2 linked regions of the Drosophila melanogaster genome follow. The protein of the gene in region 2 interacts with the protein of the main gene of each other region in a pairwise test. Each region holds a gene or a part of one and is shown on either strand. Other genes may lie near its edges.

The links. Proteins that work in one complex are often made in the same cells at the same time.
Region 1: the proteins of BomS6 (region 2) and CG4115 interact in a two-hybrid assay, tested with the Drosophila melanogaster proteins (one large-scale study listed by BioGRID).

What each region holds. Positions count from the first base shown.
Region 1 is NT_033777.3:12,356,486-12,364,960, forward strand, and holds CG4115 (uncharacterized protein), read left to right. Parts: upstream 1-3,522; 5' UTR 3,523-3,644; coding exon 3,645-3,790; intron 3,791-3,851; coding exon 3,852-4,005; intron 4,006-6,077; coding exon 6,078-6,440; 3' UTR 6,441-6,770; downstream 6,771-8,475. Other genes in the region: Tim17a1, read right to left, coding at 7,432-8,100; GstD10 (glutathione S transferase D10), read right to left, coding at 8,428-8,475.
Region 2 is NT_033778.4:18,388,804-18,393,986, forward strand, and holds BomS6 (bomanin short 6), read right to left. Parts: upstream 1,827-5,183; 5' UTR 1,791-1,826; coding exon 1,739-1,790; intron 1,660-1,738; coding exon 1,589-1,659; 3' UTR 1,550-1,588; downstream 1-1,549. Other genes in the region: BomT2 (bomanin tailed 2), read left to right, coding at 297-360, 427-593; BomS5 (bomanin short 5), read left to right, coding at 1,186-1,237, 1,304-1,374; Idgf5 (imaginal disc growth factor 5), read left to right, coding at 4,905-5,034, 5,091-5,183.

The sequences.
Region 1 (8,475 bases), on a different chromosome or scaffold from region 2:
GGTTGAATTTAATTACTTTTTATTTCTGACTATCTCAATTTTCATGAAACTTTACATCAATCTTCCTGCCATAAATTAACTATTAAAGTTGGTAAATACCCGCTGCACAATTAATATTAATCGGTGCGTTAATGCATTTTAGCGAAGTGAGGGTGCCATAAATTTCCTCAGCTCGGCGGAAAAAGGATCACGTGCCGATACGCCACCGTTCCCAAGGCCACCGAAAGCCTATTTGAAATGCAATTAATGTACGCTTTTGGGCTTACATGTCACCACGTTCGCCAAAAGGCAGACACCTTGCAAAAAGCTAACCAAATACGATATTATCCATTCGACAAATGCTTCTGGAAATATGTATTTCAACACTGGGTTTCAAAGTTTGAGGAGCAGCTATTTACGCATACTGCTAAAATAAACACTCATTGTAGTTTTTAATTACAATATTTCACCCGGTCATTAGCATGCAAGAAACAACTGACAAATTTAAATGTGGCGCCTGCTGCTTGATCGGTTGATTGAGCCGCCAAAAAAATCGATTGAAGTATGGAGCTTTGGCCTTCAAATCGAAATATGTGAGGAAAATGTGATGGCACATTTTGAAAGAATAAAATATTAAGATTCTCTATATTGTGTCAATATCTTATGTATATATGTGGCTTGACCCCTCGAATTCCGTAACTAAACAGTTTAGTTCCATTACAAATATTGTTTTAGAATGATAGCCGGAAACTCACGGTCGAAGAGCTTCCTGTTTTTGGGTACTTCCCTGAAAACGAGGTCTCTGGGTCAATCGGTTGACTTTTAGATCTTGGGCGTGTTTGCGAAATTGACACGGAGCCAATATCAAATGGTGTTGACTTTGATTCAGTGGATTGCCAATATTTGTAATCAAATCACGGCTGGAGCATAAAGCAAACTTTAATTATAAAATGCTTTTATTGTCATATGCAGCTGACATAAATATTAAATAACGTGAGTAATTGACGTTGCTAAGCCGAATAATTTAGCATTTTATAAATTTTGGTCAGTCAAAAACTGACATTGAGGGGGCCACTCGAAGGGAAATCCAAAATGGGTGGTAAACACGGTTAGATTTCCGTTTGCATAACTATTAGTGAACATATTTGCATAAATTATCGACACTCGATGAAATTGGGACGACTGCACCTGACCTCACTCTCTTTTTGTGCAAATAATTCAACAATATGTAACCTGTGCAAAAATATTTTTCAAAAACAGAAAACCGAAAACAGAAATATGTACAAGGAGAGTACAAAACTTTTGGTCCAACTGACGGCGGCACTTTCTCCTTTAATATTTACCCAACTCATCGACAAATTGGCCAGGCCCATTCCCCAGCCTCATCTCATCGGTCCCAGCCGCATAGCCCATAAGTCAGCCCCTTCTCCCTCTCCCTCTCCCGATCCCGATCCCCATTCCGATACCGTCTGGGAACTCATTGCGTAAATATGAGGGCATGCAATGCGGTAATAGGCTGGCTGCGCGTCTCTTGACAGTTGGGCCCAGTTTCCCGGTTCCTTATCACATGATTATTACCCAAAAATATTATCGCTAAATGATGATGATCATTTTGGGCTTGAGAGTGCCCACGGGAATTCATGTAACGCCGAGTAGCTCACACAAATTAAATAAATTATGCTTGCCCGAAAGACATGGCTTAAGCAAATACACGTGTTGACCATGTAAATGGGTTGCCTAATTTATTATAATTTTTATTGCTCTTTGTCGTTCAGCATTGCACGCCGGTCATTTGAAATTTGAAATTTAATATGTGGAATTTTTTCAATGCTAGCAATTGGGATTTTTCCAAACTCTGTGTACAATATATTGAAATAATTTTACTTAACACCCACCTCTGTGGCATAGTTTAATAATAATCGATACAAATATTTTGCTAAATATTATAGAAATTTCTGAGAAATGGGCGCGGCTGGCCCAGCAGCATCCAGCATAATCCGCCCAAAGTGTCCAACGAGATACATGTGTCAGGTAATGAGCGGCACCTGCCTTCGTGTAACTTTTGCCGTTTTACCGATTGCCATAAAGTGCGATTTAACAGATACCTTTGCTTTTTCAAAAACCGCCATTTTTTGGTTTCGGCTGTGTTCGGTCGACATGCTCAACTGCACGTGAGTTGAAGATGTAAAAATAAAGAAAATAACGCGCGGAGGAGACAAAACTTATCGAGGCGATCATGTTGAAATGCGTGAATTGAGCTTGGGTTTTGGGTTTTTGGGTTTTCGGGTTTGCTCGGCTTACTCTTCACTTTCAACTGGTGAAATTTTCGTACTCATCGGGGCTGACCTTGATCTGGGTCCCAAGCTGTGGAGAAAATAATGTAGATGGGCATCATTTCTTATGCTTATGCAATGGCAAGTGTGTTTGGGTATATCTTCTGGCTATTTATGGCCGGCATTATGTAACGTTTGGCAGCTCATTTAAAATTATAAGTACGATTAGTTGTTATATAGGTGCGTATTTAATGTAGCCACAGAACTTATTGATTAATAAGTGACCTTTACATTTCAATTATGTCGATTTCAATCGACATAAATTGTTGGTCAACACATCAGTTGAGATTATGCAATGAGCAAAGCGACAAAAGCACTGGCAAATACATACATTTCTGAGACGAAGCAAACAATAGCGTAAAATGCATTTATTTATGCAAAGAGACAGGAGACGCAGCACACAAAAAAAGTTCGAAATTTCCGTGCCAAAAACGATTTTGGCTCAAGTGGTGTCGTGTTTGTGAAGCTAATTAGATGGGAGTTAGCCCAATCCATTCAACGGCCATTCAAAGCGAAGTGGTGCAAAATGATGCGCAAGCCAAAGAAACGCCACCCATCGCCCACCGATCGTCCCCCCCTCCCCTTTTTTTGCACCACTTTGGCCACTTATCATTCACGGTTGCTGGTTAAACAGCCACTGAAGATTAGGCCATTCTCCCCGTGCTCCAATTTATAAATGGGTTACAGATTGCTCTTAAAATATATACATACATAGGTGCAAATTCACGAGTATCTACTTAAATCAAAAATTCTAGCAAGTCGCTAGAATTCTACTAATCTACTAATCTTAACATTTAAGTTTTTAGCTTAAAATACTTCTGGCCTAACCATTTTCCAATCTATTCAAAACATTTAAAAGGAATTTTTCAAAATGAATCAATCTCTAAATTTATTGCCTCTGTAGTACAGGGTATTCAAATTTCGACTTGCATACAATCAGCTCCGTTGATTGTTACAATGTTTCTCACACTAAAAATCCTGAAAATAAAAAGTTAAATTAAAAGAAAGTATATGGTTTTTATAAAGAAAAAAGAAGTGTTCAACAGTAGGACTTCATGGAATAAACATTTTCGAGTGTAGTACTGCCGCCAAACCAAAAAAAAAGCCCCACCACTCATTCTCTCTTTTTGGGGTACGGCGCTCTCATCGAATTGAGTGGATGGATCGATGCGACTCTCGGTTCGTATATAAGGCGGGGTTCCCCAATGCTTTTGACATTCCAGTTGATCAGTGCCAGCCGATCGGTCGGTAGAGAGAAGTGCGTCGCGAGTCCAAAAAAGAAAATCGAGCCCGCAGAAAGTGCCAGTGAATAGACTGATAAAGCAAACAAAAATGAAAGCTTTCATTATCGCCGGAGTGTGCGTGTTGAGCGTGCTGAGCCTGGGATCCGCTCAGTTCCAGAACGGACGTCTGGAGCCGCCGAATCCGCAGCTCTGTGCCCAGCGTGTCATTCACGAGAAGACTCCCGATGGCAAGGGGTGAGTCAGCAGGATATGCTCACCAAAACATAAACTATAGGGTTTGCTTCTCTCCCCGCAGTTACTTCTTCTCGTGGCGCGACCCTCAGCTGAAGGGCGTGGAGGAGGACTGGCTGACCGCCAGGAACTACTGCCGCAGGCGCTGCATGGACTCCGTTTCCCTGGAGACCAGTTTGGAGAACGAGTGGATCAAGCAGTATGTTGTGCGCGAGAATGTAAGTACAAATTTCAGGGGCTATAACGATGAAAATAAATTAAGGCAAGAAATGATAAGAGAAATCGAAAGACTTAGGAAACGAACTCAAGTATAGGTGTTGTCATGAATAGCACACAAATGCGCACACGCAAAGCTAATCTTTTATCTCAACTTTCATAAATATTTACTCCGAAAATGTTGAGTCTATAAATGGATTGTCCCAAGTCAATAAATTAAACCTTACGTAAGTCCCACTTATGATATTGGAACCATGTCCAAACTAATAAATTGATCTGAACTTCAATGCACCTGTTTGTTAAACATTTAAGCATTGATAGATCAAACAAATGACCGAAAATACCATTGAAATGTGCAACTCATTCACTATGTATATGTTTTTTTTTCCGGCGAAAGGCTATTATAAATGCAAAATCAAACACTAATAAATGGACCGCATCAATGTGGACTTTTACACCTTAAAGTCGAAAAAGCTTGCCAATAATTTATTGTACCTGCATCTATTAGATTTTGTTTCCGTTGTTTTCTCACCTGTTTTGCATGACATTATGTCACCTTTCTTAATTTGTTTGGCAAGTTAAATAACGTCAGTTTAGCCGCGTGTGAACTGTTTAGCGCGTTTTATTTGGCAGCTCAGACAAGACACAACAAAACGCTGACCTTAATTCCGAGGATGCTGGGGGGGCACACAATAAAAATAATTGCGAAATCCCTGACACTAACATCGCTCCACAAAGTTCAATGTGAAATTGCGCATAAAAACTGAACGGAAAGGCAAAATACGCATCATAAATACAGAAAAACTTTCCCAGTTGTTGCCTCTGTAATTTTGCACACGAATGGAATCGTCTGATATTATGCAACGCTCTTCGGATGAACAAGTGTCAAGTTTGGAGTTGTGGTCAGCCGGGCTCATCTCATCCCATCTCATCTGCCATCTTCCGACTCATTGCCCACATCCCATCTCCGGTTTTGCGGCATGGGAAGGCACTGGCGGTCGAATTAAAATCGAAAGTACATGTGTGCGATGGGAAAGCCTGGCCGGAAAAGCTGATCAACAAAATTACTTAGCAAAATTAGCAAGCTGCGAACACGCAACCGAATTCATTTGTTTTACATTTTGCGTATAAGATCCAAAAGGAAATTGAATGCAAACCATAGGCGATAAAAAGTCGAAGATGGAAAGTAACTCATGATCATCGAATATTAATATATTAACCACATATCAACCAACATATAAGACAACAAATCTTTTTTTAGATGTCCAATGGAAACGCAGTACTTTCCATTAAAATTTTCCGCTTCCTGCTAAGTTGCATCTCCCACCACCGACTTCTCTGCAAGACTTTTATTTAACTATTAGTAGGACAGGTGTATAAACATCACTCATTTAGGTTTCCGCAACGGGTAAAATGCATTCATTGTCTGAGTTTTAAACAATTACATTGCAATCTGGACCCCTTAAATGAAACGCTAAAACCGCCAGCGACAAAACCGAAATCAATGTCCATAAATCTATTTCAGCTTTACGCTCATTGGAGTTTTCCAAAAGGGCAGACATCCACATCGAGTCGTCTGGGTCTCTTTGTTTTTTTTTTTTTTTTTTTTTTGTGTGCTGCCCCCTTAACAAAACAATTTTTATGGCCCATCAGGTGAAAGTGACTGATGATCGCTTAACTGCGGCTGCGCAGCGGCTTTTGCTTTTGCTTCTGCTCACTTGAAATGTTGACAGTATCGGGTGCGCCAGCTCCAAAAGGGCGCGGACTCGGATTCGGAATGGGAATGGGTATGGGTATATGGGTTCGCTTTCAGCGATAAAAATGGTTGTTTGGGCGTGACAGGCCCAAAAGAGTTGCTAACTGGAATTTCTACCACTATTTTGTTCGTCGATGCCAGCCCTGCATTTTCTTGCGTAGGTGGGGGATTGATGGGGGAAATTTCTATTTCTATTTCAGTATCTGCAAGGGGCAATGAACTATTGATACTATTTCATTGATTCAGTTTCCTTGGATGGATATTTGAATTTTGTCCTGGTTTCAGTACATTAATGAGAACACTACTCTCACGTTGCAGGTGAAATACATCTGGACCAGCGGCCGCTTGTGTGACTTCAAGGGCTGTGACCGCCCCGATCTGCAGCCCACAAACATCAACGGTTGGTTCTGGACCGCCACACTGCAGAAACTGGCACCAACCACTGAGAGGAACCAGGGCGATTGGTCGCCCACCGGAGGCATTGGCCTGCCCCAGCCGGACAACCGCGAGTACAAGCAGAATGGAGCGCCGGAGAATTGTCTCGCCCTGCTGAATCAGTTCTACAACGATGGCGTAAACTGGCACGATGTGGCATGCCATCACAAGAAGAGCTTCGTCTGCGAGGAGAACGATGCTCTGCTGAAGTATGTGCGCTACACGAACCCCAATCTGCGCATCTAAGAGGATCGCGATCAGGATCAGAATCCGAATGCGAATGTGGGCTGGCGGAAGGACCAGCGACACTCTCCAAGTAAAACCAAAAATGATATTTCCCAAATCGGCAGCGGGAACGATGATCGATGTCAACTATATGTCTAATCTCCGATTGTCTTTGAATGCAAAGTTTTCTGGCCAAATTGCTGCATGATATACTTACTTATGAACCCTATCCTGGTAACCACCTTCCAATTCTCTGCGCTCTGTTCTGTCTCATCAACTAGTTTAATTCTTAATTTTGTATTAATTTATGATTTTCTTTAATTATAATAAAAGATTCGAAACGATTTTGATAAGTGGACAACGGCATTATTTATTTTTTTGTTAATTTGATATAGCATTGAACGTTTAAATTGATTTATTTAAGGATATTATGATAGAATCATAAATACCTCTTTTCCAGGGTAGAGGTTAGATATTAATAAATGCTTTTTATTAAATCTACAGATCCTAAGAACCCTCTTTCAAATTGTATGATATTGTTCAGCGCTGCAGATATGAATATAAATCTGTTCCGAGTTTTGTTTTCCATACGATGAAATAATTGTACAAATTTGAATTATAAAAACCAAAAAAAAGTTCTGTTTCAAGCTGAGCCATTTGAAGTATAACACAAGAGAAAATGCTACAGTCGAGTTTCCCGACTACCAGATATCCGTTACTCAAGTAGTGGGATTTTTCTGGGATATCTATAGATTGGGAAATACATACATACATTGTTTTATTCAACCTTTAAAAAAATAAAGCCACAAAATAAAGTGTTTCGAACTTGAAATTCTGACGCCAAGAAGTATGCTATGATTTTGATAGTAGATAAGCTTTAGTATCTTATGCGTTTTGTATATTACGATCATGAAATGAACGGTGAAAACTAGTACATGCACACAATTTTGATGAGTGATTGTTGAGAACGAAAGATTGAATGAAAATGAAAACCCTTTTTTTTTGGGCAACACTAGAACATCTGGGACAGTTTCACCAGATCCAAGAGGGAATAAAATGGCTTCTGTTTGGAATCTCGCTCGTGACTCTTAACCGGAATGTCCTGAAGTAAATTTGGTTCCCTGCTCGCCCGACATTTGTCCAGCACCCGTTCAAACTCCGCCAGTGCGAAATCTTGAGTGGATGACGCTCTCTTCGGATCAATAGTCTCCAGTATGGCCTCCCACTGGGCCCGCTGCGGCTTGATGACTATCCCTGCACCTTTGTCGGCTGCATTAATGGTGGCCACTGCTGCACCGGCTCCTTCAATCATGGCCAGCACCAGACAGCCCACCAGAGCACTGTTGGCCATGGCCCGAATGCCATTACGGGCTGCCAATATCCCACCAGTGGCCGCTCCACTGAGTATCGAGTTCCAGGCATCCTCCCTCTGGCGATAGTGGACCAGGGCGCAATCCACTGTGCTGAAAGTGGCACCCCAAACGGCAAAGCTGCCGGCAATGGACGGCGTTCTCATCTTCACCAAATCAATGCCACCATAAAGTCTGCGCTGCAATCCGGTAGGAGCGTTACGGAAACCCTTGAGGAACTCGAACAGCGAACCACCGATGGTGCCCATCATGAAGGCACATCCGCAATCCTCCACAATCCTAATGGGACACGGCTGGCGATTGTACTCCATGGCCTTGACTTACTATATCAAAACCTTTGGGTATACTAATATTCTTCAAGTGGCTTCAAATCAAAAACTTGTGTTTTGGAAATAGACTTTTGAGTAAACATAATACGAAGTGTTTGGGATGCTGACGTTTGCGTCCTTTCTAGATGTTTACAATTTTATGATATTAAATTTGTATTTCAAAAAACGGATTAAACTTTAAAAGTGAATTTTTTTTATTTAACTATTGAAATGTCTATCGAAATCCAGCCCAGTCTTAATCTTTAAATATATAGTTTTTTCTTGATAACCGAATAATAGGTGTTTTATCAGTATTTCGGGTTCATATATTCAGTTATCGAAGTATTTGCGGAACTCCTGGCAACCAGCCCAGTTTTC
Region 2 (5,183 bases):
TTATGATTTGATTAATTACATTATTATCCAAATAGATCAGCCTTGCTACTGTATGGTTTAGCAATAAAATCGATACAGCTTACCGATTTTTTGTTTAATAAATAACAATAATTAAACAACTAATTAATAGGCACTCCTTTCCAGACATTTCTTTAAAATAACTATGTAAAATCCCGCAAAATAATTATAAACAATTATATATATAATATAGCAAATACTATATGTACTATGGCATATAAAAAGCAGAGCACTCGCACTTTGGCAGTCAGATTTATTCGAAATCCCCAAGGAAAAACATGAAAGCTCTTCAAGTCGCCGGAACTTTGATGCTGCTTTTCTGCCTGCTGGCAGCTGTTAATGGTAATTATTTAATGAAATAATAAAATATATATATGATATTTTTAGCTAATCATTTCCTTATTGCAGCTACGCCGGGACAAGTGTATATCAATGGGAAATGCATTGACTGCAATAAGCCTGATAATGATCCGGGAATTATAATTCCTCCAGACCATAAATCAGCTGGATCCATGTCTTACACACTCACATCTGGAGCCATCTTCTTTGGAATTATATATCATATATTCAGTTAAATTACTATGTAATCAATAAGTTAATAAAATAATATCTTTTATTTCTCAAAAAAAAACCTTAAGCTTGTGACAAATTGCGAACTTAAATACAACCCTTATCACGTATAGATTTAGTCACATATTAAAACTGCTATTTAACAAATCCCAACTTTATGGGTATTTAAATTGCATTTAGATTATAGCAATTGCATATTAGATTAAAATCTGTAAATTTAATTTAATTCCCAGCTTTGTTTAAACCGCTAGGAAGCTTTAAATAATTTAGCTTTAATTTTTATATTTATTCATATTGATTTTGGAATTAGATTTCCTATTTGAGACAAATCTACAATAATCTATTATTATTTATATTCGATTGATTGATCGCTATCGCTTTATTTTGTTTTGCCATTGTTCTGAATGTACATCGCCTTATCAACATTTTTTTTTGTAGGGCATTTCCAGACTGGGCACAACTTTTGTGTGATTACAACAGCTGAGATACGTACTATCCGGGAAAAACCTGATATTTAAATTTCATCATAAAGGTGCCTATAAAAGAAAACCAATGAAGTGAATTTTTATCAGTTTCATTTCAACCGTTGCCAACAATATGAAGTGGATGTCCTTGGTCTTTCTATGCGGTCTGCTCGCCATGGCAGTGGGTGAGTATCTATAAGATTCATACATCCTTAACCAGTATCCTAATTATTTTTCTACTATTACTATAGCTTCTCCGTTAAATCCGGGTAATGTCATTATCAATGGAGATTGCCGTCATTGTAATGTTCGCGGAGGCTAAATTGGAGTTATAAAACTTTGATGTTTAGTAACTACAATAAAACTTATGAAAAATACAGATTGTGCATAAAGTGATGGTCTTTTTTATTTTATTAGTACGCAAACTATAATAGTTCGAACTTCATTTCTAACTGCAAAAGTTAATAATTATAATAATAAACAACATTTTGGTGTTTCAGTGACTTTAGTTTATTTCATATTCTGATTTCCACATTCTAATCGCCGCGTATATTGCAAACTTTGCAGTCGCCGTTTATAATCACATTGCCAGGACTCAGGGGATTGGCTAGAAATAAATAAATAAAAAAAAGATTTCAATTAGAAATAGGTTTTTATTATTTATACAGCACATCATTGGCACTTACCACTAGCCAAAGCCAAAAGTCCGAAGAGAAAAGTAATCGAGAGCAGCTTCATATTGTTTGTGATTTGACGATTCAGCGACTAAATTGCCTATCGATTCAAACAGGTCTCTTTTATAGCCGCGCAAATCGGTTTGATTAGCAAATTGCGCACTTTTTCAATTAAAATATGACCCCTGGAGTATATAAAAATGCGTCATAACTTGATTTGAACAGCCTATCCCCAGCGATTTAGTAGCTTTAAAGAGATCTTTGTCTGTGATTGGCAAACACACAAAGCAGTTATTAATTCCAGGGAAATTTCAAATCTAACTTATTCGATTCTAGCACTTTTGAAATATCTTATTTAATGCATATAAAAACAAAGAATGAAACAACTGAAAACGTAACGAATGACACTGCAGTTTACTAGCAAGAATTTAACTTCTTAAATTTTCGTTTTCTATGTGTGTATCTATGTGGTCGCCAAAGGTAAATGAACGTGTTTGTGGTCGAATTAACTTTGAAAAAGTTGCTGTAGGTGGGTATGTTTGATTCAGTTTATAAGTAACTTTGTTTGTGCACTAAAAGAAAAACCTTAAATTTCAAAAACGAAAAATTGTTATTGTGTTTTTATCAAAGGTATATACCATTATTTCTTTTTTATATATCATATTCTAACTTACACTGCTTACTAGTTAGTTAATAAATAATTAGACCGTTTTCTGTTTTTTTTTCAAAGAAAATATTTATTGCTTTTCATTGCAATAAACATTGTTTTTTTTCACAATGTACTTGTTTTTGCACATGGCTGGCAATTAAGCCAATGAAGCATTAAAAACCACCAGTCGAGTTCCATGCAAAATGAGTTTTTTGGCTGTTTCGTGGGGCTTAAGGCGATTGTCGGGGTTTTCGATGGGTGTGTGTGTGGGGGGGGGGATGGTGGGTGGTTTTGCAGCAGAAGAAAGGTGAGTGCAAATGGGGCGGAGAAAGGGTTTAGCGCAGTCAACCAGCATCCACTCACCCAGGATTAGTGCCGCATGCGCTAAACGCTGTTGTTGTTGTCGTTGTTGTTGTTCCACACACATTTGTCAACGTAGATGGCATTACGGATAAATGAACTCGAGCCAAATGAGCGTACACATGTACGTATACGTAATATGTGAAAATGTGCGCCTCTACAGACGGCCAACCGACACGTGCGCACGTTAACAATTTAATTACGCGCTGCGGGCAGCGGCAGCTGCCACATGTTCCTCGAAAAAAGAAAAAAAAAATGTTAATCATCGAGTCGAGTTGGTTCATTCAGGAATTAAAGCCAGCGCCCAGTTTTGCCTTTGTGGCACGTTTAAAGCCGGCCAAATGTTTCAGCCAAAGGCCTTGGAGTGGTGTTTAAGTGCGGCAAGTCGCAGGTCTCAAGTGCTCATGTTCATGCTCCATAAATTCAAATGGAACAGAAATTGAAAAGCCGTTGGAATATTCAATGGAAGGAAAGGGAAGCATGGAAGGGAGGTCGTACTTTGCTAGCATAGAAAGTAAGACAGGCTTGGATAGGAAATAACATAATTTAAAATAAATAAAACATTAAATGGTCTCTTTATTTACTTACTATTTACATACATAAACATCTTCTGTGCTTTTATATTTAAATGATACAGTGATCTACTTAGGACATGGTTAATACAGACCAAGAGGTATAAGTTGTATGGGTTCCAAGCCCATTAGCAGCTTCCTTTATAAGCAAGTACGCCTGCACTTCTTTATAATAATAATAAAAAAACTAACATATTTCATTGGGCGTGGCACTTCCAATGGGCTGGGCTGGGCGTTAGAAAGTAACAACTAGAAAGTAGAAAGCAGTGCTTCCGAACATGTGTACATTTTGTTAGTTGATTGCCTGAGCGTCCGTGCTTGTGGTTACATTCTGTTGATTCCTGTTGGCTTTTCCCCACCGTTGGCTTCGTTTATTGTCCTTTTTTTTTGTGCTGCGGTTAGTTTTATGGCTCTCACCATTTGGCTTTATGATGCAACCAACTGTGGCCTTTTGCATAAACTTGAAATTCATTTCGCTTACCCTCAGTCAGTGCGCTCCATGTTTGCCCAGGTGAAAGCCACAACCAATAGTTTAATTAGAAAACACAGTGCTGTTGTTTACTTAACTACAAATTCGATACAATTTCTCGATTTTAATTTGATTTCAAATAACCCTTTATGATACTTAAGTGATATTTTGTTATGTTCAAAACGAATGAAGCCATATCTCGTTGTCACAAAGTAAATTATCCAAGGGACTGACAAACAAGCAATTGAACCTGGTTTTCCCAAAAAAAAAAAAATTTTCAAAGCAAAAGCAGCAACTTACCACTGATCCCATCCCCTGACAGTTGACCCTTCCATTTCCATCAAATGACATGGCAGTCAACACATTTAGCCCCTGCCGTCACGTGAGCAAAATTGCTAATCAACTGGGGGATGAAGGACATGGACTTGGACATGGACATGGACATGGCCATCCATGTATGAGTGGTGGTCGTGGTGGTGGTGACCCCCAGTTATTGTGGCCCGCTCCTGGGGAGTGACGACAACTCATCATTCCGTCGTTGAAGTCGAGGGCTTTAATGTGCTTAAGCGTTACGAGCATGAACAAACATTATTGTCCTGTGGGAATCGATAAATTGGTGCTGAGTGCAGGGTCTTCGGATTGGCATTGAAGTTGTGGAAGTGACACTTTGATAACCCAAACCACTCATTCCGACCACCCACTTTTTACTTTGAGAGATACTAATGTGTGAGTGAGTGGGTGTTTGGTGGATGTTTGTTTGCCAGTTTGTGGCAAATGTGTGGATGGATAATGGAGGGTGGTTAAGTAGCTCTGTCCAAATGAAATTCGAAATCTTTCATTCCAAATAATTGTACAGATGCATATCTGTGGTTTAAAAGGGTTATGTTCTATGTATCTTTGAAATTTATTGAATTCTTTTTAGCTAGAAATATTTAATTAGGTTGCACAACTCAAAAGTATGCAATGAAATTAGGTTCATTTACATTAAATTTTTCATATAATAATCTATAATTTTTACCAATAAAAGCACCGTCTTATCAGCGCTTCTTTCGTTTGATGTTCATCAAAACAAAGCGTCGTCCCAGATTAGTTGTGAATCTAACTTGAAGCTAAGCGTTACTACCGTGCATGATGTGGATTCAAAAGAACCCATTTTTAGGGTTATTGCTCTGCAGTTTTTTGGCATTTTTCCAGAGTACATATGCAGAGGTTGGAAAACTGGTGTGCTTCTACGATGCGCAGAGTTTTGTGCGTGAAGGTGAGTTTTGTCAGATTTTAATCAACCAAGTGGATCAGGGGTTATCTTCATCTCAGGCCCCGCCCAAATGTCGCTGGCTGAACTGGAGCCCGCTCTACAGTTTTGCAACTTTCTGGTCTACGGCTATGCGGGCATTGATGCCGTAACCT